4 linked regions of the Rhinolophus ferrumequinum genome follow. The protein of the gene in region 1 interacts with the protein of each later gene in a pairwise test. Links are inferred from orthologs where the notes say so. Each region holds a gene or a part of one and is shown in the gene's direction. Other genes may lie near its edges.

What was found.
Region 2: the proteins of RNF11 (region 1) and RABGEF1 interact in binary tests that used the Homo sapiens proteins (3 or more experiments, as listed by UniProt). The link is inferred for Rhinolophus ferrumequinum from reciprocal best matches to the Homo sapiens genes RNF11 and RABGEF1.
Region 3: the proteins of RNF11 (region 1) and UBQLN2 interact in binary tests that used the Homo sapiens proteins (3 or more experiments, as listed by UniProt). The link is inferred for Rhinolophus ferrumequinum from reciprocal best matches to the Homo sapiens genes RNF11 and UBQLN2.
Region 4: the proteins of RNF11 (region 1) and RNF168 interact in binary tests that used the Homo sapiens proteins (3 or more experiments, as listed by UniProt). The link is inferred for Rhinolophus ferrumequinum from reciprocal best matches to the Homo sapiens genes RNF11 and RNF168.

What each region holds. Positions count from the first base shown.
Region 1 is NC_046292.1:36,591,020-36,599,824, forward strand, and holds the start of RNF11 (RING finger protein 11), read left to right. Parts: upstream 1-5,271; 5' UTR 5,272-5,752; coding exon 5,753-5,875; intron 5,876-8,805. UniProt on the Homo sapiens protein: Essential component of a ubiquitin-editing protein complex, comprising also TNFAIP3, ITCH and TAX1BP1, that ensures the transient nature of inflammatory signaling pathways. Promotes the association of TNFAIP3 to RIPK1 after TNF stimulation.
Region 2 is NC_046290.1:99,235,273-99,243,501, reverse strand, and holds the start of RABGEF1 (rab5 GDP/GTP exchange factor), read left to right. Parts: upstream 1-4,920; 5' UTR 4,921-5,047; intron 5,048-5,063; exon of another isoform or gene 5,064-5,444; intron 5,445-8,229. UniProt on the Homo sapiens protein: Rab effector protein acting as linker between gamma-adaptin, RAB4A or RAB5A. Involved in endocytic membrane fusion and membrane trafficking of recycling endosomes. Stimulates nucleotide exchange on RAB5A. Can act as a ubiquitin ligase.
Region 3 is NC_046284.1:80,383,692-80,391,489, reverse strand, and holds UBQLN2 (ubiquilin-2), read left to right. Parts: upstream 1-4,296; 5' UTR 4,297-4,586; coding exon 4,587-6,461; 3' UTR 6,462-6,729; downstream 6,730-7,798. UniProt on the Homo sapiens protein: Plays an important role in the regulation of different protein degradation mechanisms and pathways including ubiquitin-proteasome system (UPS), autophagy and the endoplasmic reticulum-associated protein degradation (ERAD) pathway.
Region 4 is NC_046285.1:50,814,827-50,822,684, reverse strand, and holds the start of RNF168 (E3 ubiquitin-protein ligase RNF168), read left to right. Parts: upstream 1-4,472; 5' UTR 4,473-5,135; coding exon 5,136-5,436; intron 5,437-7,858. Other genes in the region: SMCO1 (single-pass membrane and coiled-coil domain-containing protein 1), read left to right, coding at 1-91. UniProt on the Homo sapiens protein: E3 ubiquitin-protein ligase required for accumulation of repair proteins to sites of DNA damage. Acts with UBE2N/UBC13 to amplify the RNF8-dependent histone ubiquitination.

The sequences.
Region 1 (8,805 bases):
TGATATAATATTGTATGTTAACTATACTTTTTAATAAAAGTATTTTTAAAAGACTTACTATAAAGCTACAGAAATCAAGACAGTGTGGTATTGATGAAAGAATAGACAAATAGGTCAGCAGGACAGACTAGATAGCCCAAGTAGTCCCACACAAATATAGTCAACTGATTTTTAACAACGGAGCAAAGGCAATACAATGGAGAAAAGACAGTCTTTTCAACAGAATATTAGGACAACGGGATACTCACATGCAAAAAATGAGTCTAGACACAGATTTTACACCCTTCACAAAGAAATTAACTCAAAATGGATCACATCTAAATGTAAAATGCAAATATATATAACTCCTAGAAGATAACATAGGGGAAAATCTAGATGACCTTGTGTTTAGGAATGATTTTTTAGATACAATCCATGGTATGGCCCATGAAAGAAAGAATTGATAAGCTGGACTTCATTAAAATTAAAAATTTTTGCTATGTAAAGGATTCAAGAGAATGAAAAGACAAGTCACAGACTGGGCGGAAACATTTGCAAAAGACACATCTAATAAAGGACTGTTCTCTAAAAAATATAAAGAGCTCTTAAAACTCAACAGTAAGAAAATAAACAACCCTCTTTTAAAAATTGGCCAAATACTCTAACAGACACCCTATCAATTAAAATATGTAGATGGAAAATAAGTACATGCAAGGCAAATTTTAGGGAAATAGAAAATAAACAACAATGAAATACCACTACACACCTATTCGAATGGCCAAAACCCAGAACACTGACAAGATCAAATACTGCTGAGGATAGGGAGTAAAAGGAATTCTCGTTCCTCGCAAGTGGAATGCAAAATGGTACAACGACTTTGGAAGACAGTTATGGTAGTTTCTTACAAAACTAAAGATACTCTTATCATAAAATCCAACAATTGTGCTCCTTGATATTTATCCAAATTAGCTGAAAACATGTTCACACAAAAACCTGCAAACAGACTGTGGCAATGTAAAATGGTACAGCTGCTATAGAAAACAGTATGGCAGTTTCTCAAAAAATTAAACGTAGAATTACCATATAATACAGCAATTCCACTTCTGGGTATAAAACCAGGTAATTGAAATCAGGGTCTTGAAGAGGTATTTGTACACCCATATTCTTAATGCATTATATATAGCTAAAACATGGAAGCAACCCAAGTGTCCATCAGTGGATGAATGGATAAGCAAATTGTGGTATATACATACAATGGAATATTATTCAACCTTAAAAAGGAAGAAAATTTTGCAATATGTTGCCACTTGGATGAACCTTGAAGACATTATACTAAGTGAAATAAGCCCGTCATCAAAGGACAAAACTGTATGATTACACCTATATCTGTCATAGAGACAGAAAGTGGAATGGTGGTTGCCAAGTGCTGGAGGGAGGGGAGAATGGGAAGTTATTGTTTAATGAATAGTTTTGGTTTTACAAGATGAAAAGAGTTCTACAGATGGATGGTAGTGATGGTTGCACAATATTATGAGTGTATTTAATACCACTGAATTGTACACTTAAAAATGGCTAACATAGTAAATTTTATGTTAAGCATATTTTTTATCTCAATGAAAAAAATGGAAAGAAAACCTGTACTCTGATTTATAGCAGTTTTGTTCATAATTGCCAAATTTTGAAAACAATTAGGATGTCCTTCAGTAGGTGAATGCATAAATAAATTGTGGGACCTCCAGAGAGAGGAATATTATTGTGCTAAAAAAAAAAAAATGAGCTGCCACCCATGAAAAGACATGGAGAAACCTTAATTGCATATTATAAGTGAAAGAAGACAATATGAAAGCCTACATGCTGTATGATTCCAACTATACGACATTCTGGAAACGGTAAAATTATGAACACAGTAAAGAAATCAGAGTTTGCCAGGGGTTAGTGGTTAGGGAAAGAGGAATAGGCGAAGCACAGGAGATTTTTAGGGCAGTGAAACTATGTTGTTTGATGCTACAATGGTGGCTACATGTCACTATACATTTGTCCAAACCCATAGAATGTACAACCCCAAGAGTGACCCTAACATAAGCAAAGATTTTGTGTGACAGTGATGTGTCATTGCAGGTTCATCAGTTGTAACAAATGTACCATTCTAGTGCAGAATGTTGATAATGGGGAGGCTATGTATGTGTGGGGGCAGGCTGCATATAGTAAATCTCTGTGCCTTTTGCTTAATATTGATGTGAACATAAAACTGATCTGAAAAATAAGGTCTATGTAAAAAAAAAAATCTGTCTCTCATATCTGCTTCTGCATTAGATCTCCTTCTGTCAGAGAAAACCAGAGCCAGACAAAAGTTAAAGTGGTGCAAATTTTATTCAAGAACTACTATTGCAATAGGGAAAAAGAAACCTCAGTATAGATAGAACTGGACTCCATTAATACAAAAAGGGCAAATGGGGATTTCTGGGCAAGGAGCAGGGTGGGAGCAGGGTGGATGGAAAATTACTAAGAGGAAACATCAGGAATAAGGGGAATTCTGGTTAAACCTACTTGATAGGATTTTTGCTGAAGGCAAGCCAAGGTGGTCAGATACCGAGGGTCGGGGATTCTGGCTAAACTGACTCAGCTAGATTCTTGCTAAAACTGGAATAAGTGGGCCAAGCACAGAGCCCAAGGTTAGGGCCCTGAGGGCTTAGAGAAGCCTGGCAGAGTTAGGTCAGAAGAGCCTTTGTCACTGTAAAAGTCCCGGTTACTATTTTCTATTTTAAATTATGTTTTGTGATTAGGTCACACTCTGGTCTACAGGGCACTTCCCAAAGGCTCCTTTCTAAAGCTGGGTTAGGAAGAAAGATCATTGAATAGCTACTTCCTTACAAAGGCATTCAAGATAAGTCTTCCCCCATTCCCTTGTTTTTACACACTGAGGGAGGAAGACCAGGATGAAAAAACATGTAGTCCTTTCCCACAACCTAATAAAAACAACGGGTATATGATTCAAATCCTGGCTTTACCTCTGAATAGCCATGTGAAGCCATGTTTCTATTCCTACAAAACAAGAATATCAATATATACCTTTTAAGGCTGTTATGTATCTAGCTCAGGTTAATAAATGGCAGTTATGATTATATATTAAATTGCATTAAAATATTCATATATGCTATGTAGATATATACAGTATAATACAATAATAAATCCCATTTATTTTATATTGTTACATATAGCCCAACTAAGTGAAATCAAGGACAGCTACATGAAGAAAGAGGTATTTAAGGAGCATCTTAAAGATGGCTGAATTTCAACAAAAGAGAACAGTGAGGCAAAAGGTCAGAGGTGGAAAAGCATACTGAAAATTGAGAACATGGCAAGTAGTGTGATGCGGCTGGATTATAAGGATGCCTAGTTGGAATTGGAGATAAGGATGGGACCAAATGGTGCAAGGCTAATGCGAAATTTCTGAACCATGAGTCTATGAATGCTCTCTGATCACAGTTTTCATGGCAGTAGTGTGGAGAATAGATAGATGATTCAGAGGCAAAATCTTCATTAAGCTGTTGCAACAGTTTATAACAGACAAGGAAAATGACAATGGGGGAGAAGAGGCATGTGCCTGAAGTTTTCCTCCTAAAGGATCTAATAATTTCACTTTTCCAAGCTAGTGAATTAAGCAATCATTTTGGAGTGTGTTTAAAAGATTGTGATACAAACGTGGTGTTAAGTTACATACCTATTTAGATGGGAGCCATTAATGGGAAGGAAGGCAAGTCTTGGAGAAGAGGCCATGCAGCAAAAAGGTTATATTTACTATGAGATACGAATGCATTTAAACAAGACAGTAATTTTGTAGAATAGGGACTCCAAGAATCCTTTCAGATCCTCACCTAACTGTCTAATCACTCTCCTCTGGGCCCTCTAAAAACCTTTGGTGGGGGAGTCAGAGGACTCAGCTGTTTACTTGTCTTCCTAGCTGGACTCTGAGCTCCATCAGGAAAAAGCCAGGTTTGGTAAGTCAGTGCCTAGCATAGGGTCTGGAGCCTAAATAAATACATATTTAAAAATAAGTAAAAGCAGTAAATGGTGGACAAAAGAAAGAGAGTCAAGACCCACTTCTTGTCTTCTTGTCGAATATTAGGAGCATCATCTTTCTTGTTGCCTTCCTTTGCATACATTGCCTTTTGAGTTGCCCCTTCATTCACCCAAGAGCCTACTACTCTGCCTTAGGCCGTGTGCCAGACTCTGCACAGAGAAGGGACAGATGATTCAGCTTGATCAGACTGTGACAGAGAAAAGATCAGGGACTGAGAACACAAAGGAAATGACTAACCCAGACTGGACAGGGTTGGTTAGGAGAGTCTTCCTAGGGGAAATGAAGTTGAGTCCAGGAAGGACAAGTGGAAATCACGGTTAGCCTGAGGGAGGTAGAAGGTTAGGAATGGAGAAGTCAGTTTCTATCAGAGAAACAATATGGGTAAAGGCCTCAGCCAGAGGGAAGTCTTCTAGATAACCGAAAGTACTTTGTTTACACAGCCTAGAGTTTGGAATATGTGAGGGGACAATGCTGCTGATGAGATAGGCAGGTAGACAGATTTGTAAACCATTTAAGAATTAATACTTAATCATAACACTAAGTCATAATACTTAGTTTCCCATAACAGTATGGGAAAGCCACTGAAGGTTTTAAACAGCAGAATGACATAATCCGATTTACATTTTAAAAAGGTAATTCAACTGTGCAGGTAATGGATTGGATGGGGCAACCGTTAATGCAGAGAACAGCTGAGAGCATTGCAGTAGGGTGGGCGAGAAATGATGGTGGCTTGGACTATGGTGCTGAGAATGGAAAGAAATAGAACAATCTGAGATATACAGCTGGAAAAAGACTCTAGCTGTGATGCAGGAGAACAAGGGAGTGATTGGATAGATAGAGAAGGTTCATGAATGAGCTCGAACTTTATCTTGAAGGAATAAAGGGGAAACCACCTAACCTTTTAACCATAGGAGTGATACAGATAGGGTTTATAAATAGATTATTTGGCCGAATGTGGTGAGAAGACTGTCAGAACAGGGCACAGGTAAAGAGCTGAGACAAGAAGGGAGGGAGAAGTGGATGTGGGGAGGACGTTGAGACGACAGAGAGGTTTCAGAGTCAGGTATAGAACCAACAGTCTGACAAGCAGAAACTCACACAGCCTTAGAAAGGCTGCGGAGGTGGGGTGGAGGGCGGGCGCAGCCAGAACCGCCCACGCCTCCCGGCGCCAGGGGCGTGACTAGAGCACGCACGGCGGCATGACGCAGGGCCGCAGCTGGCCTCGTTCTGGCCGCCGCTGCCGCCGCTTTGAGGCGGAGTAGGATGAGGCCCGCGGCCGCGGCTCCGGCGTCGGCAGGGGCAGCAGCAGCTGAGGCAGCAGCTGAAGCAGCCACGACGGCCGCGCCCCCACCTCCTGACCTGGATTAGGCCCAGCAGCTCCGTGGCCGCCGCCGCCCCGCGGGGGGGCGGGGTGGGGGAAGTGTCTCGTCTCCCCGCCCGCCCCCCCCATCGCCACCTCGCAGAGGCTATCGCCGCGACCCCAGCGGAGCCCGCGGCCAGCCTTGAGCCCCCAACCCCGGGGGTTGGCATGAGCGGCCCTTCGGCGGCTCCGGGGGGCGGGGAAGCCGCTGCCGCCTGAGCCCCGGCCTGCTGCCGGACCCCACCTCGCTGACCGAGGCTGACCGCGGAGCCTAAGAACGACCCCGCCACTGCTTTCTTCCTCCCCCAGATCACACACCCCAGCCCCAGAAGATGGGGAACTGCCTCAAATCCCCCACTTCGGATGACATCTCCCTGCTTCACGAGTCTCAGTCCGACCGGGCTAGTTTTGGCGAGGGGACAGAGCCGGATCAGGAGCCGCCGCCGCCATATCAGGTAGGGGAGGGTGTGTGTTGGGGAGGTGGGGGTGCGAGGAGTAGAGGCAGCTCCCGCAGAGATTGAGGGGTCTTCGAGGCTGTCACTGCTCCTGGCCTCGGGAAGGCCTGGCCTGGGGGGCGTTGACCCCCTTAGAGCAGGGTCTAAGGGTGATTGCTCCCCACTCCCAGAGTAGGGGGGATCCTTCACATCCCCTCAGTCTTGGTGTGGTGATGGTACTCTGTCCTTGAGTATGTGATCATATCCCCTTGACCAGAGGCTCGTGGTTTGCTTGTGGAGTTGAGAGTGACATTTCCCTGCCTTTATGTCTGAATCGCGGAGTCTGACCTGTGAGGTTTGGAGATGATTTGCTCATCCACCGCCAGCTGGATTATGGGTTGTGGATGGGTGGTTGCCCCCCGTTTATATTTTCCCGTGTGATTATCCTCTCTTTCCCTCCCCTTTCTATTCGTGTTCATTGGATCTAGTAGGTGTTCATTTCTTCTACTTGGGAGAAGATCTTCAAGTGGTGGTTTTAGTCCCAGCAACATCAATACTGGTAGTTACTTGTTTATTTGTGTATGTATTAATTTGTAAACCCCTCCTTCTTTTGCTCCAGCCCATGACACACCTTTTAAACGCAGACTTAATAAAACTTGATTACCTTGAACTTTGGAAACCTTTAAACCTGACTTGTGAAATAACCTTCTGTTACTTGTGGTTCTCCTTTTGTATCAAAGACTCTTTCCTAAATAGTTTCATTGCTTTCTGTACAGCAATCAGCAGCCCCAGATGTGTTTACACAATTAATAAAAGCTAAGACCTATTCAGAAAACTCAGGATAGATATGTGGATGTTATAATTTATAATATATACAAACCTTTCCTCTACTTCTTCAGTTTTAAATGATGTTGATTAAAAAGTTTTTTCCAGAAGGCCTTAGATGGTTAAGTGGCTTAATATTTTTTCCTGAGGGGGTTTAGTTTTCTAACTGGGCAAGTCTCCTTTGTTGTTTCATGGTGACATCATTATTTAGTGTTATTCTTTTCTCATTCGTGTGTAGACCAGTGTCTCATCACACCAGAAAAACCTGATCACATATGCTGGTTTTCTAAATAAAACCCTTCAAGGGCCTTTCATATATGCTAGTAAAGTCCAGTCTTATTGTGGCGTAAGGAAGCCTCCATGACTTACTTATCTCACGTCTCTGTGTTCCACACCTACCACATACACCAGCCTGTTCACACCTCTCTGCCTTTGCTCCAATTGTTCTCTCTGCTTGGAGCCCTTCCCCCAAGGTCGGCCAGGTGAACATCTAATCCTCTTTGAGGACTCAGCTCTCCTGTCACCTCATCTGGAGTCGCTGCCTTCCCCTCCCTCCTGTCCTGAATCCATCCATTACTCCTTTGTGTCCCCCTGAACTCTCTACACTCCCATAAACAGCACTTATAAACTTGAGTCTTAGTTAATATCCTTGTGTATTTAGATGTATGTCTCATCCTTGAGGCATTTCCCTCCTACCACAGTGTAAACTGCATGCAGGTAGGGACCCTGTGTCTCCTGTTTGCTCCGAATCCCCAGCATCTGGCTCATAGTAGATAGTAACTGTGGGATTAATGAAGACTGTAAACCCTCGAGAGCAGGGACTATGTCCCCAAAGCTTTGTGCAGTTTCTCGCACAGAAAAGCACTTAAATGTTGAATGAATTAATGAATTGGAATTCAGTATTATGTTTTGTAAGTTAACACACCCATTTCTTCCAAAGAATTGTCACAGGGTAAGTCTCTTGAAAAATCCAAGCTAAATCTGGATGTCTTTCTGAATCTTTGAAGCAAATAAATTGTTTGTATTTTACTCTTTGTTTCCCTCAAAAATACTATAAGACTATGTACTTATTTCAGTTTCATGAGCAAATTTTTTTAGAGGTGTGAATTTTTATTTCAAAATTTCCTTCCATGTTCCCTACCCCCATTCCAGGCAAATTGGATATCTTTGACTTATTGCCCTCTTTCTCTTATCCTTATGCTAACATAGTGTTAAGAATTGTATTTGTCTTTTCCAGGACTAAATAATAATGAGTTTTGGTATCATGAAGGAACATTTTTTGAAACATGTTATTTGTGACAGTGGGAGTTTTTTGTGGTTGCCCTTTCCTGAAGTGAATGACCCAGATGCCGATATGCAAATTTGGTATCAATTGAAAGAAAATAATTTCTTTTAAAAAATGGGAGCATGAAAAAAAAAAAGAAATTTACTGGGCACTCTGTTAGCTCAGTTGGTTAGAACGCAGTGCTCTTAACACCAAGGTTGCCAGTTCGATCCCCACATGGGCCACTGTGAGCTGTGCCCTTCCACAACTAGGTTGAAACAACTACTTCAATTGGAGCTGATGGGTCCTGGAAAAACACACTTAAAATAAAAATTAAAAAGTAAAAAAAGAAAAAAGAAACTTTTGTAGAAAAAATTTTGTTCCTCCGAAGAAAATAAGATTTTTAGGAATAGTTAATTTAGATGACCTGAGAAACACCAATCCAACGTAAATGATTTATATTTTCAGTGGACAAAAATAACATTTTTCTTTAAATAGTATATAATTAGCAGAGCTACAGGAATACTGGCTTAATTCTTTAAAGAATAGTCTCAGCTGCAGCAGGATTAAAAATTTTTTCCGTTAAGGGACTAGCTGATTGCAAAGGAACACACTGGTATTTTTCTGTAATGAGTAGTTAAAAGATATTTTTTGTGTTTGTGTTGCACAATGTAAATATATATGCCAAGAGCTCTATATAGTAAACTTTTTAATAAGTTTCAGATATTTCCTAATAGCAGGATCTGACAGGTTTTATTTATTTATTTATGCTTAAAAGTAAGCCCTGTACCATTAAGGTCAAAGTTCATAGGAAGTGCGTATTTCCTGGGTTTCTTTAGTAGCCTGCTAGCGGCTCCCTGGC
Region 2 (8,229 bases), on another chromosome or scaffold:
GTTTGGTGGTTGCCAGATGGGAGGGGTTGGAAGTGGGTGAAAAAGGTGAAGGGATTAAGACGTACAAATTGACTGTTACACAGTAGTCATGGGGACGTAGGTAGGGTATAGCATAAGGAATATAGCCAATACTTTTGCAATAACTAAGGGATCAGAAGAATACTAGATTTATTGTAGTGATATATAGGAGGGGAGTTGAGGGGCAGGGTGAAAACTGAAGGGATTAAGAAGTACAAATTGGTAGTTACAAAATAGTCATGGGGATATAAAGTAAAACATAGGGAATATAGTCAATAATATGGTAATAATTATGTATAGTGCCAGGTGGATGCTAGACTGGTCAGAAGGATCACTTCTTAAATTATAATGTCTAACCCCTATGCTGCACACCTGAAATTAATATAAAAGAACAACTGAATGTCAAAAAAATTAGAAAGAAAGTAAAACAAAAAAACCTGTTAACTAAGAATTCTATATCTGGCAAAATTATTCTTCAAGAATGAAGAAATTAAGACATCCCCAGATAAACAAAAGCTATCGTTCATTATTAGTGGAACTGCTTATAAGAAATGTTAAAAGGAATCCTTCAGGCTCAGTAACAAATGACACTAGATAATAAGTTGAAAGCACATAAAGACATAAAGAACACTAGTAAAGGCAAATACCTAGGTAAATGTAAAAGCCAGTATTATACTTTGTTTTGTAACTCCTCTTTTTTCCCTATGTGATTTAAAAGGACATGCATAAAACATTAATTATAAACATTTGTTAATAGGCACATGATTTATAAAGATGATCTCTGACAACAGCAAGATAAAATGAGAGGGACAGAGATGTACAGTAGCAGAGTATATACTATTTTAAGTAAATTGGTATTATTGAACTTACAACAAGTTGGTGTCATAAGTTTAAGATGTTAATTATAATCCCAAAGGTAACCACTAAGAAAGTAACCAAAAAATATACAGAAAATGATAGAATCAAAATGGTAGGCTACAGAAACACAACTAGATACCAAAAAATGCAGTAATGGACAAACTGAGAAACAAAAACATATAAGGCATATAGAAAGCAAGTAGCAAAATGGCAGAAATAAATCATTCTTTATCAGTTTAAATTACTTCCAATTAAATCTCAGAGATTGGCAGAATGAATTTTCGTACAAGTTCCATCTATATGCTGTCTATAGAAGACTAACTTTAGATACAAAGGTACAAAGAGGTTGAAAGTAGAAGGATGGAAAAATACATTCCACGTAAATAGTAACCAGCTGGAGTGCTATATTATTAGACTGAATAGATTTTACATTAAAAATGGTTACAAGAGATAAGAAGGACATTACATACTGAAAAGGATTTAATCCAAGAAGATGATACAACAATTATAAGCATATATTTGGGGTGCCAAAAAACCAGGAGTGCCAAAAAAATTTATATAAGTGGACACTTTGGTCAACATTGCTCAAGTGTCTAGACGCTGATGGTAACCACTTTGAGCACCTCTTGTATGTAATTACAGAAGTCAAACGTGATTTGTTTTCATCTTTTATTGGTATATATCGAGTATTACAATTTTAATACAGTTCTCCTTTCTTAAAATGTGTATACATTTTTTTTGCACCCTCTGTATATATGTACAACAGAGCACCAAATATATATGAAACAAAAAGGGACAGGATTAAGGGAGAAATTGATAGTTCTAAAGTAATAATTGGAAACTTCACTATCCCAGTCTCAATAATGGATAAAACAACCAGAGACAAGATCAATAAGGAAAGAGAGTCTTTGGACGATGTTATAATTAGACCTATCAAATATATATAGAACACTTCACCCAACAATAATGGATTATACGTTCTCCTAAAGTGCACATAGAACATTCATTGTTCAGAGTAGAACATGTTAGGTCACAAAACAAGTCTTAATAAATTTTAAAAGACTGAAATCAGACAAAGTATCTTTTCTCATCACAATGGAACAAATTTAGAAATCAGTAACAGAAGAAAAACTCCCAGAAATATATAAATTAAAAAAAAAAAAGCCTTAAACAACCAATGGTCAAAGAAGAAATTAGAAAATACTTTGAGGGCTGGCCCAGTGACTCAGGCGGTTGGAGTTCCATGCTCCTAATGCTGAAGGCTGCCGGTTCGATTCCCACATGGGCCAGTGGGCTCTCAACCGCAAGGTTGCTGGTTCGACTCCTGCAAGGGATGGTGGGCTGCGCCCCCTGCAACTAACAATGGCAACTGGACTTGGAGCTGAACTGTGCCCTCCACAACTATGATTGAAAGGACAACTACTTGACTTGGAAAAAATTGTGGAAGTACACACTGTTCCCCAATAAAGTCCTGTTTCCTTTCCCCAATAAAATCTTAAAAATAAAAAAAGAAATAAAAAATACTTTGAGACAAATCAAAATGAAAACACAACAAACAAAACCTAGGGAATGCAGTGAAAGCTGTGCTCAGAGGGAAATTTATAGTTTTAATCATCTATATTAAAAAAGATCTCTAATAACTATATACCTTAGAGGAACTAGAAAAAGAAGAGAAAAGTGATTCAAAGCTAGCAGAAGGTAGGAAATAAAGATTAGAATGGAGATCAATGGAATGAGAATAGGAAAACAAAATAGAAAATCAACAGCACCAAAACTTGGTTTTTTTAAAAAAATGAGCAAAATTGACAAATCTTTAGCTAGATTGACTGAGAAAAAAAGAGAAGATTCAAATTGCTAAAATCAGAAAAGAAAGGGAGGACATTACTGACTTTACATTAAAAAGGGGGTTATAAGAGAGCAGTACTATGAGCATTTATGTATACAAACAAATTGAATAACCAAATGAAATGAAGTAATTCCTAGAAACATAGCCTACCAAGTCTGAATCACAATGAAACAGAAAATTTGAATAGACCTATGACTAGTAAGGATATTGAATCAGTAATCAAAAACTTCCCAACAAAGAAAAAAACACAGAAAATTTGAATAGACCTATAACTAGTAAGGATATTGAATCAAAAACTTCCCACCAAAGAAAAAACCCTGGATTTGATGGCTTCCCTGGTGAATTTTACCAAACATTTAAAGAAAAACTAATACCAAGCCTTCTCAAACTCTTCCAAAGAATTGAAAGGGGAGGGAATGCTTTGTAACTCATTCTATGGTATAAAGCCAGCATTGCCCTGATACTGAGCCAATCAAAGACACTACAAGAAAACAAAGCCAATATTCCATATGAACATTGACAGAAAAATATCCTCAACAAAATACAATACTGAATTTAGCAGCATATTAATAGGATTATATACTGTGACCATGTGGGATATATTCTTGGAATACAAGGATGGTTAAACATACAGAAATTGATCAGTGTTATACACTATGTTAGGAGAGTAACGGGGGGGAAAACTCCCTGATTTTTTCAATTGAAGAGAAAAAGTGTGTGACACAATTCAATGCCCTCTCATGGTAGAAACACTCTACAATCTAGGAATAGAGGGAAACTACCTCAACATAAGAAAGCCACATATGAAAAACCCACACCTAACATTACACCCAGTGGTGAAAGATTGCAAGTTTTTCCACTAAGATCAGGGATGCCCATTTTTGCCAATTCTGTTCAACAGAGTATTGGAAGTGGTAGCCCAAGCAACTAGCCAAGAAAAAGAAATAAAAGGCATCCAAATTGGAAAGGAAGAATAAAATTATCTGTTTCTTCTTATATGTAGAAAACCCCAAAGATCACACACACACACACACACACACACACACACACACAAAAACCTATAATAAGTGCAGCAAAGTAGCAAGATACAAAGCAATACACAAAAATCAGTTGCATTTCTATACACTTACAATGAATAATCTGAAAAGGAAACTAAGAAAATAATTCCACTTACAATAGCATTGAAATGAATAAAATACTTAGGAATTAATCGAGAAGGTCAAAGATTGCAATTGCAGTTTCAACCTCTCCCAGAAATATACTCTTAACCATTCTGGAACTTCCTGGTCAAGCACCAGTAAGGTAATATATGAATGAGCCCTCTTCATACCTCATAGAAAGAAGAGGCAATTTTAATGATAAAAACTCTTCCCATTTTCTTCCCCCAAATAAAATGTGCAGACCCAAAAATCGTGCTTTTAATAGCTCCCTTGCCCTACTTTCTTCCTATAAAAACCTTCCATTTTGTACAACCCCTCAGAGCACCCTTTTAGTTACTAGATGGAGTGCTGACCAATTCATGAATCACTTAATAAAGCCAATTAGATCTTCAAATTATACCCGGTAAATTTTGTTTTTTAACACAAAGTTTCTGAAATAGGAATCACAAAAACTGTGTTTCCTTTATAACTTGACCGTTAATACTGTGTGACACTAGCTAATTTATTCAACTTCTAGTGTCGCTTAACTCAGGTATTTAAGAACGCTTCTGGATCAACTAACCTCTTTCACATCCTTTAATGTGAACACCTGGACAATCCTAAAATCCGTGAGAGAATGGGATTCATTAGTTTTTCAAGCGGCCTCATTCCCTACGTGTTGGCAACCGTCTTCGGGCCCAATGACTCCTCTCCCGCAAACTTAGCAGCCTCCGCCTCCGGTTCCACGTTAAGACATGGTCGGGCAGGACCCAAGAACAGGCAGAGTCGCCCTCAAGCTATTGCGCGTGACATCCCAGAAGCGAGGACTGAAGAAAAGACAGAAACGCCGATTCTTCGCCGGCTCCCGACGCTTCAGGTCAGCGCCCAGGGATAGCCTCGAGGCCGGCAACTTCCCCTGGCATTGCCGGTGCTGTCATTCCGTGCCCGCCTCGGCCTTGCGCCACCCAGCAGAGACTCCTGCGGAACACGCACAGGTAACCTCCCACTCAAACCAGGGCCCCGGAAGTGACGTCTGTGCGCGCGTCACGTGCGCACGCGGCGCCGGGGGCGGGGCTTGAGAAAGGGAGGGCCCTTGTGAGGGCGGGTTGTGGACTGGCGGACCCGCGACCCACTGGAGAGACGCGAGGAGAGCCGCGTTCTGGACGCCGGTTGAGCCGCAGACGAGGTACGGAGCTGACGGACCCGGGCCGAGGGCAGCGCTCTTCGCGGCTCCAGGTGGCGGGGCGGCGGCGCCATCCGGGCGGGGGCTGCTGGGTCATTCGTCAGTGCCTCCCACCGGCCGGGGCCGTTTGGCTTCGGAGCCTCTTGTGGTCCTCTGTCCCAACCCCGGCCCCGGCGGCGCGGCCCTGGCCGGCCCCAGGCCGTGGTCGTCTCCCTTAATCCTCTTAGAGCTCAGCCTGCCCGTGTCAGGCGCTGGTCAAGTTCTCCAAGGCCCAGCCCAACCCCGACGGACAGACGCTTACTATCATTTCCTGGCCGACTTGTGCCACCCATCCTGCCCTCGCGGGATGGCTTCCCTCTGGCCGGCTTTCTCCTCACTGTCCAGTCCGCGGAGTCCGAAGGTACACCTGTGGTGGCGGCCGGTCGGGTCGTGCCCTGGGGCCTTGGGGACCCGCCTGGATTGGAGGCTTTGGACCCAGATCGCATCCTGGCCTTGGCAGGGGAGCCGGGGCATCACGAACCCGCGTCGGTCTTGGGGAGGGAAACGAGCCGGAGCTGGAAGGGTGCTGACTTTCGTCGCGCGGGACTTGAAGACTGGTCCTAACTTTCGCCCTGTGATTGGTTGAGGCCCTGGGATTAGGGGCAGAAGTCCCTGCTTCCGAACCGTGTTGGAGGAGAGCAGAGGGGATGCCCAGCCATCACGGAAGTTTAGTAGAGAGGGAGGGAAGGACCCAGCCACTTTGGAGAACAGCTCATAGACAGCTGCTGGTGGTGTCTCAGCGCTGGTGACCAAGACCTGTGTTTGGGAACTGTGTCTGTCATTGGTCGCTGGTGGGCTCGTGTTGCCTTTGAGATTAGACGTGAAAAATTGCCGGAACGAGTTTACAGCATCACCCGAGGTGTGGTTTTTTGGGAACCGAAGAGTTGTTTTGTTTTTTGAGATTAAAAAATAGTTGTACTTTTTTCTATAAACCTAAAACTGCTTTTAAAAAATTATTAAATAGTTGTACCAGAGGTACAACTTGCCAGAGGTGCAAGAAGATTTGACTGTATTTTTAGTTTATTTAGTAAATAATGTTAATTTTTAAGAGTTACTGGTTCGCATGCAGAAGATTAAGAAGTGTTCAAGATTTGAGTTTTTACTGACGTTGTAAACTATCCTGTTTCTTCTCTCTAGAAGTTAGACAATTTAGGAGAGGGGAGGGAGGAGACACAGCAAAGATACTTTGAAAACAACATTGGAGCACTCTAAAGGTCCCTCCTCACCCCGAGGGACTGCAGGATGTGGACGGTGGAGAAAGGTGGCATGGAAGGCCTTTGTGGAAGTAAAGTGAAGAATTGAGTAATATTCAAACTAACAAAGCAGGGTGGGAATTTTAGGGGTAGATAGGAATGTGGGCGTGGTGCCACTAAAGGAAAAGTGGCCAGTAACTACCAGGAGGTGGTTTTTGAAAAGTGAAAAAGAGCAGGGCAGAGGTGGAGGTAGAGGGGCAGAGATGCTGGAGCTTGCTAGGCCTTTGACCTGCTAGTGACAGCACTGGGGAAGGGCTTTAAGGAGGGGCATTTCGTCCTTAAATAGAAGTTTGCTGTGTGGTGGCTGGGGATTGTGCCCAGGTCTGTGTGCTTGATTATGTGATATGCGTATTTTAATCTTTTCTGCTCATTAAGTGTTTGAATTGAATTGTCTGTTTATTTACTACTTGTTTCTTTGTGTAAGAGTGACGGACCTGCGAATTTGTAAGCTTCTATAAACAGAAATTCTGCTTTTATCTCTTTGCATTTTCAATCCAGGTTGGGAATTCACAAATGTTCCATGAGACTTATTCCCTTGATGAGAATTCATTGATTTCTGATGTTAGTTTCCAGTGAAAATTTGATCAATACTTATTTTAATATTTACATACAAAAAAAACTAAGATCCTGTTTGATTTACTTGTGGCAGTCTTTGGCTAGAGGCAGAATTTCAGTCTTGACAGTATGAATTTAATTTTGGGCACATATGTTTTTATTGGTTGCAAAGGATACATTTCTAGCAGAGCTGATCTATCCCTAAAATGTAGGCAATACCTGTGTAACATACACCTGTCTATTCTGTGACACAGAATAGAAATGCTATTAAGTGTCTTCTTAACCCATAAATAAAGTTGTCACACTAAAAACAAGAGTTTCACAATAGAGGCCAAACATTTTGAAAGTCTTATTAAACGCTCATGTCTTTCATAAAGCATTGTAGAAACATCATGTTTCAGATGACTGAAATACCTTGAAATAAGCTAGACTATTGTTGAATAAATGCTTAGGAGAAACAACGATAGACTTGTTTTTATCCCACTTAATATGTGTAACTCATGTTTTTTGTGTTTGCTATTTGGATGAAGCTAAAATACTTTAAGAAAAGGCTGTCTTTTTATGGTGCCACTTTCAAATTACCCAGTGAGATTTCTGATTTTGATGAAGTACTGTTGGCGTAGAAAGTATAAATTTTACTGCGTAGTAGAGCCTTTTTTCGTGTGTCTGGTAGCATACCTCATTTATGGTCACTAGGAGGGTGAAAAACTAATTATAATCAATTAACTAGATACATATATATAGTTAAAAGTCAGAAGTTATGATCAGAATGACAAGTATGAGTTCATGAATGGGTAAAGTTTTACACACTAAGAGAATCTTAAGCTTTTTATTTTCCTCAAATGACAGCAAGGAGATTGCTGGCTTCCCTGAAGCAGGAATGTAGCAAGAGCCTTTGGGGCTCTAAATTCTTTGCTGCCTCACATTAAGGAGTGATGGCATCATCCTCTGTGCTAGGAACAGGGCAACGAAGGGGTTGTACACAAATTGTATGAATCAAATCTGAAGCTAGTCTGGTCAGTTCCCATTCAGAATACTCAATTGTAATTGCAGTCATGATGATTTGGTGTGTATTTTAAACTAAAAATTAACTGTTGGATTTTTACATGGGGATATATTTACAATTTTCTGTGTGCTCCAAAGTTAAAAATACATAATGAAAGTGTTTTATTTTTGTATTTCCTCTGTTGTTAGAATTTCCTAATTTTAGAAATAATGGTTGCTAAAATACTTTCTGTTTTCTTTTGGAGCACAAAAAAGATAATGTCTTTAGAAATTGAACTCATAAAATGTTTATTAATGGAAGACAATATTTTATTGTGCTGTAATGTTTTTCAA
Region 3 (7,798 bases), on another chromosome or scaffold:
CTCTGCCCCTCTTACTAGTCTCCCCATAGCTTCTTCTTTATATTTTTAGTTATAGAACTTCTGTTTAGCTAGACTTCAGATGGTTCCCCAGGTTGATTGTTCTACAATTTAGTTGTAATTTTAATGTATCCTTTTCTTTGTTGTTCTAGAAAGGTCACCACCATGCTTAGGTTATATAAATATTTGCTCTAATGTTTTATGATTTCATTTTTTTATCTAGAATTTTTTGGTATTTAACATGAAGATTCATGGATGGCACTCTTTCCACCTTTTCAACACTGTTAGGGATTTATTATTTTTCTCATGTCATTTCAATTAACTGAATGGGATTTGCTAAAGAGAGGAGGTAAAAGCATTAGCTCAGCCACAACCCTGAACAAGAAAGATGATTTTAAAATAGCAAATTATTTGATTTCTTATTCTTTTTCTTACAAGTGTCTTACATGATCTGTTAAGGTTTTCTACTTCTTTAATATATTTTGGTCATGTATATCTTCCTAGAAAATTTATAGAATCATCCATTTTTCTTTGTTGTTAGCCAAGATTTTTACAAAGTATTATCATACTTTAAAAAAAAAATTACGCAATCCCAGTTTTTATGTATTTATCTTCTTGCTCATTTCTTAAATTTTAAGATTAAGCTAATTGATGTTGTTCTTCTCACTAACAAAGGCATGTTCATTCAACCACTGGAATGCTCATTTTATTTAGTTGTAAGTAATTTAAAACATTACAATGGATATATTTTGAAACAAAATGCAAAATATAACATCATTTATTAAAAAATGGATAAAAACTCAAGGAAATGTGCTTTTGGTGGAACTCAGAAACACAAGTAGAGTGGTGGTTGCCAGGGGCTGTGGGTTGGGGGGAAATAGGGAGATATTTGTCAAAGGGTACAAACTTCCAAGTATTATTAGGTTGGTGCAAAAGTAATTGTGGTTTAAAAGGTTAAAAATAATTGCAAAAACCACAATTACTTTTGCACTAACCTAATAGATGAATAAGATCTGGGGATCTAATGTATAGCATGGTGATTGTAGGTAATAATACTGTATTATATACTTTAAAGTTGCTAAGAGAGTATATCTCAAATGTTCTCACCATGAAAAAAATAAATGGTCATTATGTGACGTGATGGAAGTGTTAGGTCATGATACAATGGTAATCATTTTTCAATATATAAATGTACCAAATCAATGAGCTGTACACCTTAAACTTACACAATGTTATATGGCAATTATATTTCAATAAATCTAGGGGGAGGGAGGAAAACAACAAAGGCCAACATAGCATGAAATCTCTAACATTGTCCGTTGAACCCAAACTGTGATTCCTCCATGGGGACATGCTCTTTGACAAGTCTTTTAGTCCCTCAGAAACTACCCTTCTATGGAGGGACTCCAGGATGATTGGTATTTATTCTTACTTCTGCTCTCTAACAAAGAGTTTACAGTAGGAAAAAAAAATGTACTTTTGACCGACTAGAGAGGGTGACTCCTGCTGTTTTCTTTGGTGATGGACTTGTAATAAAATCAACTAGCTAATAATGGCATATCTATTTGATTTGCTTCTTCAAAGAACTTCTTAGATTCACTTAACAAATTTTATTTTTCTTTCTGTTAATTCATTAATGTTTGCTTTTATCATTTTTTTTCAGCACCGTTTCCCTCTTTTTCTGTTGTCCTAATTCATTTATTTTCACTTTTAATTGTTTTGTATTTGGTCTGTGAGTATATAAATTTGACCCTGAATTCATTCACATAGGACATGGTAAATCAAATATCATTAAATTGGAGCTTGGTAAGAATGCAGTTTTCTGAGCACCACTTATTTTGGTAAGTTTATCGTGGGGCCTAGATTCATGTATTTTTTTAACACGACCCTCAGACCACACAGGAAATTCTCATCATAATTATTGATGTATATATTCTCATTATTGTCGTTTTTCTAAATTTACTCTAATAAAAACTTTGATTTGCACTTTGTCCCCAAAGTGTGTAATGCTATTTTAATTTTCAAGTGGTTGACTTTTTCATTCACACTTTCATTATTAATATCTAGATTTGTTCTATTGAAATCAAATAAGATAACTTGTGATATTTTCTTATTTTTTGGAAAATTAAAAATCCCCCCAAATACAACTGTATTATAATAAATACTCATATCCCTATCATCTAGAATTAACTATTGTTATTTTGCCATATTTGCCATATTTTTCCATAAAGATGAATGAAAGAACAAATAATTTCAAATTTATGTATTTTTACAGATTTAACTCAATTTCCTTTTAGTCACTATCCTGTGCCCTAGTCCATTTCCTCTTCCCCATGAATGCAAGTTTGGTATGAATCATTCTAGTATATTTGCGATTGCTCCACATACATGTGAATGCATCTATAAACACCATAGTGTTGTGCTAATTAATTAGCTTTTTGAGATCTATACATATTAATATGTTTAGATTTAGTTCATTCCTTTTATCTTCTGTATTCTATTAATCATATAAATCATACTATGTTAATCCATTCCCCTTTTGATAGACATTACATACTCATTTTTTTTCTTTTCTTGAGATATTTTAAGGCTTTTGTGGCCTAATTATTTTCAAATGCTGGCTGGATACTGGGAGGGAAAAGTATTTTCTGGATAGCATAAATTAGAGTTCAAAATTTATAATTTAATGAGTTAAATAAAATATTTGACAAATTTTCTTTTTTAAAAAAGTAATTTATACATAAATTTGAAATTATTTGTTCTATTATTCCAGTGTTACATCTTTATTTATCTCTCCTACTTATCTGTAACTAAATTAGTTAAATATGGTAATGTCTGGCACTACTATTGTATGCCTGTCAGTATCTACTTATAATCTACCCCCAAATGCCTTCTGATTTTTTAAAAAAATTATAAATGCAGGGCATAGTTATAAAAGCCATCAAAAAATCTAAAATTAAAAAGAGAAAGGAATAGTTATTCATAATTTCAGCACTAAGGAATCACCACCAGTAACATACTAATGAATAATATTCCAGATTTCTTTTTACACATACAGTTAAAGACAGTTTATATACATAAACTGTTTCAAATAGTTTTAAAATAAACATATTTATTGTATTTTTTGGTATTGAAACAAACAGGCTTGTATAATTTCTACTATACATACTTAGCTGAAAGTGAAAATACTCTCAATTTTCCTAGAACTACTGTTTATTTCATGTATACCTTTAAAGATACTTTATATCTTATGAATTAACCACCCATTTTTAAACATAGTGCATATTATTTTATTGTATGGCAATATCATATTTGACCAATCTTGTGTAAACAGACACTGATCATCTTTTAAAATAATTTTTTGAAAATACTGCAGTGCATATACATTTTATACATCTATGTTTTTGCATCCTTATCCAATTATTTTCATAGGCAAGGTCTCTAAATGAGGTATTTCTAGAGAAAGGCGGAAATATTTAAAATGTCGATTTATGTTTTCGAATTGCCTTATGATTATAACTTACACTTCGATTAGCATGAGAGTGCATCTTCTCAGCTCTCTATAAGGTTTATCATTTTTCATCTTTGTCAATGTGACAAGGCAGAAGTATAATTTCATTGTTTTAATTTGGATTTTTTTTTAATTACTGGTGAGCTTAATCATCTTTTTATATGCCCTTTGACCATTTGCACTTCTTTCGTAAAATGTATGCTTCTGCCCAGTCTTCTCCCATTCTCTCATTGGGGATGTTAATCTTTTCCTTTTTGCTTTGTTCTTTATTTTTCATTTTTTGTCTTTACATGGGGTCAGTTGGATTCAGGCTTTCATTCTTTCGCTGCCTTACGGACTTCAAATACATATATATATATATATATATATACATATATATGTATATATATGTATATATAGATGTGTGTGTATATATATATATATATATACACACACATCTATATATACATATATATATTTTCTTGAGATTTATTAAGAGATTTATATATACATATATATATTTCCCCTATTGGTCTTCTAATGTCTTCTACAGAAGCTGGTTCCTTTTCCTCTCTCCCTCCCTCCTTCCCTCTTTTCTCTACTCTTTAGTCTTTGTTTATTTCCCTCTCTGTTTCTCTGTCTTTCTGTCTCTCTCAATCTCTCTCTCTCCCGCCCTCCCCCTTTTTTTCAGTATAGAAGTTTTTTAATTTTGCTCGAGTCGTATCTATCATTCTGGGCCTGGCGCCGCGTCAGCAGAGGGGGGCGGGGAGGTGCGCGCGGCACTGGGGGAGGGGAAGGGGCGGGGAGGAACGGGCGGAGCGGCTGCGTGAGTTGCTGCGAGTGCGCGCGGTGGGATCACACGGCGGCGGTGGAGGCCCTGAGACCTGAGCGCTGAGATCTCGGCCCGCGGCCTGCACGGAACCGTCTCTCCACCCGAGGATCAGAAAACCGCAATCTTCATTACAGAGGTACTGTGTTCCGCGCTCCCCGCCCGGCCCGGCCCAGCCTGCTGCGGCGGCGCCTCCTTCCTTCCTCCTTCCCTCGCTCTCTCTCTCGCCCGCCCGCGCCTTCCCTGTCTGCCTGCGTCACCGCGGCCGCCATGGCTGAGAACGGCGAGAGCAGCGGCCCCCCGCGCCCCTCCCGCGGCCCTGCTGCGGCCCAAGGCCCTGCCTCTGCCCAGGCCGAGCCCAAAATCATCAAAGTCACTGTGAAGACTCCCAAAGAGAAAGAGGAGTTCGCGGTGCCAGAGAATAGCTCAGTCCAGCAGTTTAAGGAAGCGATTTCGAAACGCTTCAAATCCCAAACAGATCAGCTAGTGCTGATTTTTGCCGGAAAAATTTTAAAAGATCAAGATACCTTGATCCAGCACGGCATCCATGATGGACTGACTGTTCACCTTGTCATCAAAAGCCAGAACCGACCTCAGGGCCAGTCCACACAGCCCGGTAATGCCGCGGGAACTAATACTACTACCGCGTCGACTCCCAGGAGTAACTCCACACCTATTTCCACAAATAGCAACCCGTTTGGGTTGGGGAGCTTGGGAGGACTTGCAGGCCTTAGCAGCCTGGGTTTGAGCTCGACCAACTTCTCTGAGCTCCAGAATCAGATGCAGCAGCAGCTTCTGTCCAGCCCTGAGATGATGATCCAAATCATGGAAAATCCCTTTGTTCAGAGCATGCTTTCGAATCCCGATCTGATGAGGCAGCTCATTATGGCCAATCCACAGATGCAACAATTGATTCAGAGAAACCCAGAAATCAGTCACCTGCTCAACAACCCAGATATAATGAGGCAGACCCTCGAAATCGCCAGGAATCCAGCAATGATGCAAGAGATGATGAGAAATCAAGACCTGGCTCTCAGCAATCTCGAAAGCATCCCAGGTGGCTATAATGCCCTACGGCGCATGTACACTGACATTCAAGAACCCATGCTGAATGCTGCACAAGAGCAGTTCGGGGGTAATCCGTTTGCCTCCACCGGGAGCAGTTCCTCCTCCGGGGAAGGTACACAGCCTTCCCGCACTGAAAATCGAGATCCACTACCCAATCCATGGGCACCACCACCGGCTACTCAGAGTTCTACCACCACCGGCACAACCACAAGCAGTGGCAGTGGGTCTGGCAGTAGCTCCAGTAGTGCTACTGGGAACACCATGGCTGCAGCCAATTATGTTGCCAGCATCTTCAGTACCCCCGGAATGCAGAGCTTGCTGCAACAGATAACTGAAAACCCCCAGCTGATTCAGAATATGCTGTCTGCGCCCTACATGAGAAGCATGATGCAGTCACTGAGCCAGAATCCAGATTTGGCTGCACAGATGATGCTGAATAGCCCAGTGTTTACTGCAAATCCTCAGCTGCAGGAGCAGATGCGTCCACAGCTCCCGGCTTTCCTGCAGCAGATGCAGAATCCAGATACGCTGTCAGCTATGTCAAACCCAAGAGCAATGCAGGCTTTAATGCAGATCCAGCAGGGGCTACAGACATTAGCCACTGAAGCTCCTGGCCTCATTCCAAGCTTCACTCCAGGTGTGGGGGTGGGGGTGCTGGGAACCGCTATAGGCCCTGTAGGCCCAGTCACACCCATAGGCCCCATTGGCCCCATAGTCCCATTTACCCCCATAGGTCCCATTGGGCCCATAGGACCCACTGGCCCTGCAGGTCCCCCTGGTTCCACTGGCTCTGGCGGCACCCCTGGGCCCACCATGTCTAGCTCTGCACCTAGTGAAACCACGAGCCCAACATCGGAATCTGGACCCAACCAGCAATTCATTCAGCAAATGGTGCAGGCTCTGGCTGGAGCAAATCCTCCACAGCTGCCAAATCCAGAAGTCAGATTTCAGCAACAACTGGAACAGCTCAACGCAATGGGGTTCTTAAACCGTGAAGCAAACTTGCAGGCTCTAATAGCAACAGGAGGCGATATCAATGCAGCCATTGAGAGGCTGCTGGGCTCCCAGCCATCATAATTACATTTCTGTACCTTGAAAAAAATGTATCTTATTTTTGATAATGGCTCTTAAATCTTTAAACACACAAAATCATGCTTTTCTTTCGTTTTGATTCTTTTAAATCTGTCTAGTTATAAATATAATATGATACATTTTAAGGTGGAGTCCATACCCCTATCCCTCTCTCCCTCTTTCGTTCCTCCCTCCCTCCCTCCCTCCCTTCCTTTTGTCCTCTCTCCCTTTTGTCCTTCCTTGTTTTTTGTTCTTCTTTTTTCCTTCCTTCCTTCCTTCCTTCCTTCCTTCCTTCCTTCCTTCCTTCCTCCCTTCCTTCCTTCCTTCTTTCCTCCCTCCCTCCCTTCCTTCCTTCCTTCCTTCCTTCCTTCCTTCCTTCCTTCCTTCCTTCCTTCCTTCCTTCCTTCTCCTTGTCTGTTTTGAATGGTGGGAATCAATGCTGTTTCACTCAAAGGTGTTGCATGCAAACACTTCTCTTCTGCATTTATTGTGGTTTTTGGAAACAGATATCAAACTTCACAGTTGGGTGAACAAGTTTTGTCCTACAGATGTCCAATTTGTTTGCATTTTAAACATTAGCTTATAGTAATTTAATGTAGAATGAAAATATTAAAACCAGAAGCAAATTATTTGAAGCTCTAATTTGTGGTACAATATTGCTTATTGTGACTTTGGCATGTATTTTTGCTAGCAAAATGCTGTAAGATTTATATCAGTCTTTGATCTTTTTTGTTATATTTGTACACAGTACAGTAAGCACAATTGGAACTGTACATCTAGAAATATTACAACAGAATTTCTGAGCGGAATCTGAGCAGAATATGTCATCAAAATGAGAGAATATAAGAAATATTTCTGGAGCTAGGTATGTCACAATTTTGTAGAATCTTACAGCATCTTTGATCAACTCAGTGAAAATGTTGGCTAGGCAAGTTCAGTTCAAATATAGTAGAAATGTTTATCCTGGTATTTCTAAGTATACATTTAATTGTACAGAAAACTACTGTGTGAAATTGTGTCAACATTTGCCGATTGACTGTATATGACCTTAATCTTTGTGCAGCCTGAAGGATCAGTGTAGTAATGCCAGGAAAGTGCTTTTTACCTAAGACTTCTTTCTCAGCTTCTCTCATAAAGATACCCTAATAATACACATTTTGATTTGTAATTAGAAATGTAACTTCCACTGAAAGTGTCATGTGATGTTTGCATTACTTTTAACTGCTATGTAAAGGAAACTGTATCTTTTGACTCTATCAGTTATTTCTCTTATGCACAGGGAATAATGCATTAAAATGACTAAAAAAATAAAAAATAATAATAAAAAATGGATAAATCTTTTC
Region 4 (7,858 bases), on another chromosome or scaffold:
TATTCAAGTCATTGAGAAGGGGAAAGCAGTGAGAGCCCCTGAAGAGCAAAAGTCATCCCTAAAAGAGTTGATACCATCAGTCAAAAACTAACCTGTTACGCTATAACCTAGTGATTCCATTTCCAGTCATTTATCTTGCAAATGAGAAAAAATATGTATATACAATTTTGTTATGGGTTTATTTTTATAGCACAAGTGAGGGGAGTGTTAGAGAAGTTATGATAAATGGATACAGTGGATACTTTCTGTGTAGCCACATAAGAGAATGAAGAAGCTCTTTGTGTTATTGTATAATGATATGGTGTTATCAGTAAGATGTATTGTTTTAAAATATTTATTTCCAATATATATTGTTAAGTGGGAAAAAGTGCAAAAACAAATACATACATAGACACATATAAGCTAATATACTCATAAACTTTATAAACTTCTGGAGAGATACATAAGAAAGTAATAACCTTGGTTGTTTTAGGGAAGAAAACTAAGAGACTAGAGAGTGAAAGGTAGGAGGAAGTCTTTTCACTGTTAATCCATCTTGTACATTTTGAATTCTGAACCATGTGAATGTATCATCTATTAAAAGACAAAACAACAATAAAAAATAAAAAAGTATATATTGTATGTTGATATACATTTTCTCTCTAGTATAAATATCACAGGTATTTATACTAGAAAAGGAATTCGCACATATTGACCATACATTTATGATATATATACAATTTTGTTATGATGTATATACAATTTATTGAACAACAAATGCCATGTGTTAGCCAGATGGCTCAGTTGGTTAGAGCACAAGCTCTTAACAACAGGGTTGCTGGTTCAATTCCCACACGAGCCAGTGAGCTGCACCCTCCACAACTAGAGTGAAGACAACGCTGAGCTGCTGGAGGGGTAGCTGAATGGCTCAGTTGGTTTGAGCGTGAACTCTTAACAACAAGGTTGCTGGTTCAATTCCTGCATGGGATGGTGGGCTGCGCCCCCTGCTACAGCGACTTGATGTGGAGCTGAGCTGCGCCCTCCACAACTAGATTGAAGGACAACGACTTGGAAAAACACACCGTTCCCCAATTTAAAAAAAAAAAACCCTTAAAAAAATGTATATATATATGGATCCTGTCCTCCTGGTGAAGGGTAAGTGCTGATGCTTTATTTGGGAGGTACAAATTCAGGACAGCCAGAATGAGGTAATACTCTGGAAGGGATGTTAGGTAGAGAAGGATAAAATACAAGGTGATATGTAATCTTGCTGGCCCCTCCTTGAAAATGAGCCACAAGAGACATGGAAGTTGCTTGGCAGGTACATCCACTCAGTCTGATCCTTCTCCATACACACTGTTTGGAGAAACCATGCCCATGCCTTCTTGGAAGGAAGAAGGAAAGGGAATTTCTCTGTCATGCTCACTCAGTCCACTGTTTTCAATTGGCCGAAATTTGTTCCAGGGGGGAGTGACTCCTCATACTTACATGATGCATCATCTAAGCCCTCCCACTACCCATTAGAAAGTCAGAGCCTACATTATTCAGTGCAATGTTTCACAGGAGTCCAAAAGTGGCAGGAGAAGCCAGCGATTCCAGGCAGCAACTGGTCAGCCCCAGAAAGACTAAGGGATGGTAGGTCCAGAAAGTAAACAAGGCCAAGGAGGAAGCATATACTCATAAAATGTATCCATTACAGAAGACATAAGTACCTAAAAATAGAAATCAAAATGCAAGAGTTAAATAATAAGACTACAATAAAAACTACTATCACTAAGAGATATACAATTGGATGAGTTCAGCGAGATATTGTTACTGTGACAAGGCCTGTGTGCTTGACGCACCAAATATTTAATATCCAGTAGATCAGAGTTTAGATTAGGAAAAGTTTTATTTATCGAAATGGCACCATAACGAAAAGATAGAAGATTTCTAGTTTTGTCAAATCCATCTTAAGACACAGCAAATCAAGATGTGGTAAAACAAAAAGATCAAGACAAATGAGATCTAATGCTAGTGTCAGTTTAATGTCTACTGTGTTTTATATAGTATCTTTTTGTTCACTTTGGAAAATTTACTAAAAATTGCAAAAAATATTGTTCAAAGATGTAAGGATTTTTGAAACTCAAAATGCATTATAAATAGACTTGATGAAATAAATTTTTAAAAATCCATCTTAAGAGAGTCCAGAATTCAGCCTTCTTTTATGACAAGGGAAGGGAGAATGGGCTGGGCAAGAGGTGGGAACCAAGGAAGAACAGAAATCTCCAAATCTCTTTGTTCTCAGTTAGTTCTTGACTCCCTCTGATCTGAATCCAGTCCTGAGATTATTATAAATCTTTGATAAACAGGCATGGCTTTGCATATCTTTTGCCACTTATTCAGGAGGCTGTTTTTGCAGAATTTCTCTAGTCAATTAGCATATCAACAATAGGAACTATTTTCCTGAAGGCCCTGGGAGAAATGCATGCTAAAATTTATGGTAAACAGCATATGGGAGAGAAACAGAAGCATTCTATTGTTATAGTATCACTGTCTGATGGAGAAATACTTCCTGGAGAAGTGCACTGAGTTGATCCTTGAAGTAGGCAAAGTCACAAACCAACTCATTTAGGATGAATTGAGAAAGCAATGACCTGAAAGCACAAGATGACAAAAAGTAGATCATAGTTGAATGTTTCAAAGAATAATGGAAGATTCCATGGGAAAAGCAGATTGATACCATATTAGGGAGGTGGAATTCTGGGCTAAGGAATTGATACTGGACAACTGGATGTCAACCAAAGGTTTCTGAACCCACATTAAAACAAAACAAAGCTTTTTACCACGGACCTACACATCCTTGTTTTGGTTCCATCTGGAAACCACTCATCTCCTCAATCTGAATGAACCCAATAGACCGAAAAGAACTTTGACTATTTTCATGCACAGTGGTTTTCTTTTCTCTTTCTGTAGTTAATTTCCTCAAAAAAAACTCAGGCCTAGTTCTCTACCCCCCACCCCCATTTTTTTATTGTGGTAAAATACACATAAAATTTACCAACTTAACCATTTTCAAGTGAACAGTTCAGTGGTATTAAATACATTCATAACGTTGTACAACCATCACCACCATCTATCTCTAGAACATATGAAACTATGAAACTGTATATCCATTAAACAATAATTCTCCCAGCCCCTGGCAAACACGATTCTACTTTCTGTCTCTATGAGGTGTTAACGGAAGAACGTCCAAATCTATAGAGAATTTTTTGTAAGAGTTTATTTGACCCAAACTGATGACATACATCAGGGAGCAAGATTTCATATGCTCCAGAGAGTAAATTTTGCAGCTTTTTTCATGCATTTGAAATTAAGGAGGGAAATAAGGAAGATCACAGGAAGGTGGGAGAAAGCAAGACAGGGATTGGATTCCGGGATAGTTGACAAGATTCTGTGCTCTCTTGAGGGAGGTTATGACTTATTTCAAAGGTGCATTAACCTAGATGCACAGAAGCAGTGGAGATTGTTTGCTTAAGACAAAGAAAAACGTTTTACTAAAAAGTTATATGCCTGGAGTGTGACTCTCCAACACTATCTGCCAGTTAGGAAGTTATGATTAGATCACCCTGTGAAATTACTTTCCATACAATCTCTTTTTTTGGTCCACAAAGGCTTGGTTCTCAAGTACGAAGGGTCAACCTATATTTAATCCGCCATTTTCCTAACCAAAATATGTATTTTTCGTAGAACTGAATTCAATAGGCTCAGTTGTCAGTACAAAAACTTAATATCAAGTGGAAAAACTTATTTCAAAATGCATAAAATGTTAAACTATCTTCTTTTTTGGCTTCCTCATAATTTTGATTATTCTGGATTGATACTTAATAATAAAGTACTACATTGTAAATGATGCACATGACTGCTAAGCTTCAGTCAGGATGGATGCGGACGGGAGGTTTCCCAAACGCCTAGGAGGGAAGGCAATCCCAAAACAACCTATCTCTGGGCCGCATACTTGAGAAGGGGCTGGACTATAGCTTTCTACAGTGTTAAATGCCTTTATAAATTGTACCAGTTTGGAGATTCTCAGACCACAACCTTTCTGGGAGATTAACCTCGGAGATGCTTTTCTAAGAACTTTGGGCAGCGAACTAAGAGGCTTAGTTACAAATGAACAGAAACAGAAAAGTAGTTTGAGTACTTAGGGAAGAATTTTAAAAATTACTGTTCGGCCTCTAAAGTTTGTTTGGGTTCCCTTTTCCGACCACAGGCCAAATCTCGCGACACTCCCAGGTTTTCGCAGCCCCGGGAACAGAAAGTGCAAAGGAAGCTCGGACTTCACCTAAGCTGAAGTAGGAAGGGCTGAGACGCGGGAGCAAGGCCCTCCCCAGGCCGGGTGACCGAATTGGTGGCGCGCCCAGGACCCGGAAGTCCCGCCCTTCCCATTGTTATTGGTCTTTGCCCGTGGGCGGTTCTCTGGTGGGCGGGGCCATTTTGGCGGGCAATTGTGACGTTACTAGTCCCAATCGGGTTGCTTCCGCACCACAGCAAAGGTTAAGCTTTTTGACTGATACAGGGGTAAGGAGCGCCAGGAAACGACATGAGACACCGAAAAGCTGGAACGCTCGGGTTCGTATGCTGCCCATACAGCAACGAAAAAACGGAAGACCTGCTTTAGTGAAGCCAGGCGTCCGGGCGGAAGCAGCGTCTTTCCCGGAGCGGTGGTTTTGGCGGGTGTGTGCCTAGACAGCCTTGGGCTTGGCTGCGGGCAGCTGAGGGAGCATCTTCACCTGGTGAGAGGGAGGAGGGGAACTTGGCGCATACCTCCCGCCGCACCAGAGCACCGGAACCCAGCGCCCGCACTGCGGAAAAGGTTCTCTTAATGCCTCGGAACAGCCAAGGTCTTCCGAGGGAAACCTTTATTTTCTTATCCTACGTTTGTCCTAAACGTGGACAAATTGCACCGCCTTCCAGGGAAGTACTGTTTACCTGACCCGCAGAGCGCCTTTTGCTTCAAGACGTATTTGATGTGTCCAATCTCTGAATTCTGATACGCTGCTGGGCACAGTATTTAACACAAAACTGCTAATTTGCTTTCTCATTAATTGGGCCGGAAATACTATTCTTTGCCTTTTCGGGTGTTGATGTTGAATATGCCGTTTTAGTATATTAAAATGGCTGTGCCTAAAGACGCCATCCGTTCCTTGTCGGATTGCCTATGCGGGATCTGCGTGGAAATCTTGATCGAGCCCGTAACACTGCCTTGTAATCACACGCTCTGTAAAGCATGCTTCCAATCGACTGTCGAAAAGGCGAATTTATGCTGTCCCTTCTGTCGCCGCCGGGTCTCGTCGTGGACTCGGTACCATACCCGAAGAAATTCTCTTGTCAATAGAGAACTGTGGGAGATAATTCAAAAACACTATCCAAAGGAATGCAAGCTTAAAGCATCTGGGCAAGAATCAGAAGAAATCGGTGAGTAAAACCCAGCGTGTTTGTTGGCTAAAAAACAAAAAACCTAAAAAATGAGTCACTGCTAATGGGTTTTTTCAAAGGATAAAAAAGAAAGCCCGACTAGTGTCTGTCTAAATTATTCACAGGGGCTTGGGTTCTATGGGCGCCAAAGTCAGTGGCAAGATTTTAGTCATTGTTATAATGCCCAAGGTGTGTTTAGTTGGTGTTTGTTGGGTTAAAAATTGAAAAAAAAAAAAACACCTCACAAAAATTGCTGGTGTGGAGTCTTCATTCTTATGAAAAGTTGTATAAATATTCACAGATGAGCAATAGTGGTAGTACAGCAACCGCCGAAATAAGGAATCCAGTAGTTACTGGATTCCTGTGTTAATATTTCTTTTACTTTCAATACTTTCTCTAACTTATTTGCTATACATATTCATCCTAAGCCTGCAAGGAGCCTAAACTAGCTTTCTGAGACCAGTTCCTTCTGGTTAAGTCATTTTTATTCAAAACCCTCCACTGTGTGGACTCAGCAGCTAATTCAGTGTGTCCCAAATGAAACAATTGACTAGCAGCTTGATCCACTTATGTGATCAGTAAGCCATGCAGTGTGTCTTAATGTGGTGGTGTCTTCTCTGGTGTACTTGCCTTTTTTTGTTGGAATTATTTTTATTGTAATTAATATATATAACAAAATTAGCTATTTTAATCATAGTTTCAACAGTAGTTACCTTTTATTAAAACCACTGGATTGTCCTCACCAGAAAAAGCCAATCTGTGTGAGAACTCCCATGTGGATTTTGGGTCCAGTGATGCCAGTATCATCTAATTTTTTTTCAAGAAAACCCCAAAATCTGGAAGTCCATAGTTTGAATCCTACCAGAATAAATTGAAATTCTTTTAAACTACAGGCCAGAGGAAAACACAGCTGTAGGTCACCAGTTTACCATCACTGTCTTGAAAGAATAGATTAGTTCAAACAAGTTCACTGTTAACAAAATTAGAGATGTAGTCTATAGGAAAAACATTCAGTAATGCTCTTCTCTATGTAAAGCATGTATAGAGGATGGAATCAAAAACAGAATCAAGAATAGTTTGATTTTTCATCAATAAATTTGTTGCATTTCCAAAACACACCCCACAAAAAACGCTTTATTGAGAAACTCACATACAATTGTTCCATTTAAAGGGTTCAGTTCAGTGGTTTTGGTATTTTACATTCTTTTTGCAAAATTGCAGTAAAATGTATATGACAAAATTTGCCATTTTATTTATTTATTTATTTATTGGGGAAGAGGAACAGGACTTTATTGGGGAACAGTGTGTACTTCCAGAACTTTTCCAAGTCAAGTTGTTGTCCTTTCAATCTTAGTTGTGGAGGACGCAGCTCAGCTCCAGGTCCAGTTGCCATTGCTAGTTGCAGGGGGCACAGCCCACCATCCCTTACGGGAGTCGAACTGGCAACCTTGTGGTTGAGAGGACGCGCTCCAACCAACTGAGCCATCCAGGAGCTCAGTGGCAGCTCAGCTCAAGGTGCCGTGTTCAGTCTTAGTTGCAGGGGGCGTATCCCACCATCCCTTGTGGGACTCGAGGAATCGAACTGGCAGCCTTGTGATTGAGAGCCCACTGGCCCATGTGGGAATCGAACCGGCAGCCTTTGGAGTCAGGAGCATGGAGCTCTAACCACCTGAGCCACCTGGCTGACCCCCATTTTAACCATTTTTAAGTGTACATATCGGTGCCATTAATTACATTCACAGTGTTGTGCAAATTTCACCAGTTGTTTCCAAAGCTTTTTATCACCCCAAAATTTTTAACCATTAAGCAATGATTCCCCATTCTTTTCTCCCCGTTTCTAGTCTACTTTCTGTCTCTATGAATTTGCTTATTCTAGATAGTTCATATACAATATGTGATCTATCGTATCTGGCTTAAACTTAGCATAATGTTTCCAAGGTTCATGCATGTTGGAGCATGTATCAGTAGGAGCATGTATTCCTTTTTAGGACTGCGTAATATTCTATGTTATGGATATATTTCATCTATCCTTTCATCCACTGATGGACATTTGGGTTGTTTCCACCTCTTGCCTATTTGTATAGTGCTAATACGAACATTAATGTACAAGTATTTATTTGACTATCTTTTCAGTTCAGAATTGCTGGGTCATATGGTATTCTGTGTTTAGCTTTTTGAGGAACTGCCAAACTTACACAGGGCTGCACCATTTTACATCTTCAGCAGCAGTGTATAATGCTTCCAGTTTCTCCACTTGTTATTTTTCGTTATTTTTATTTTTCTTTTCCATAGTCATCCAAGGTGTGAAGTGCTATCTTAGCATGTTTTTTTAATTACGGTAAAGTATACATAACAAATTTACCATTTTAACCAATTTTAAGTATACAGTTTAGTGGCATTAAGTATGAGGTGTGATCAAAAA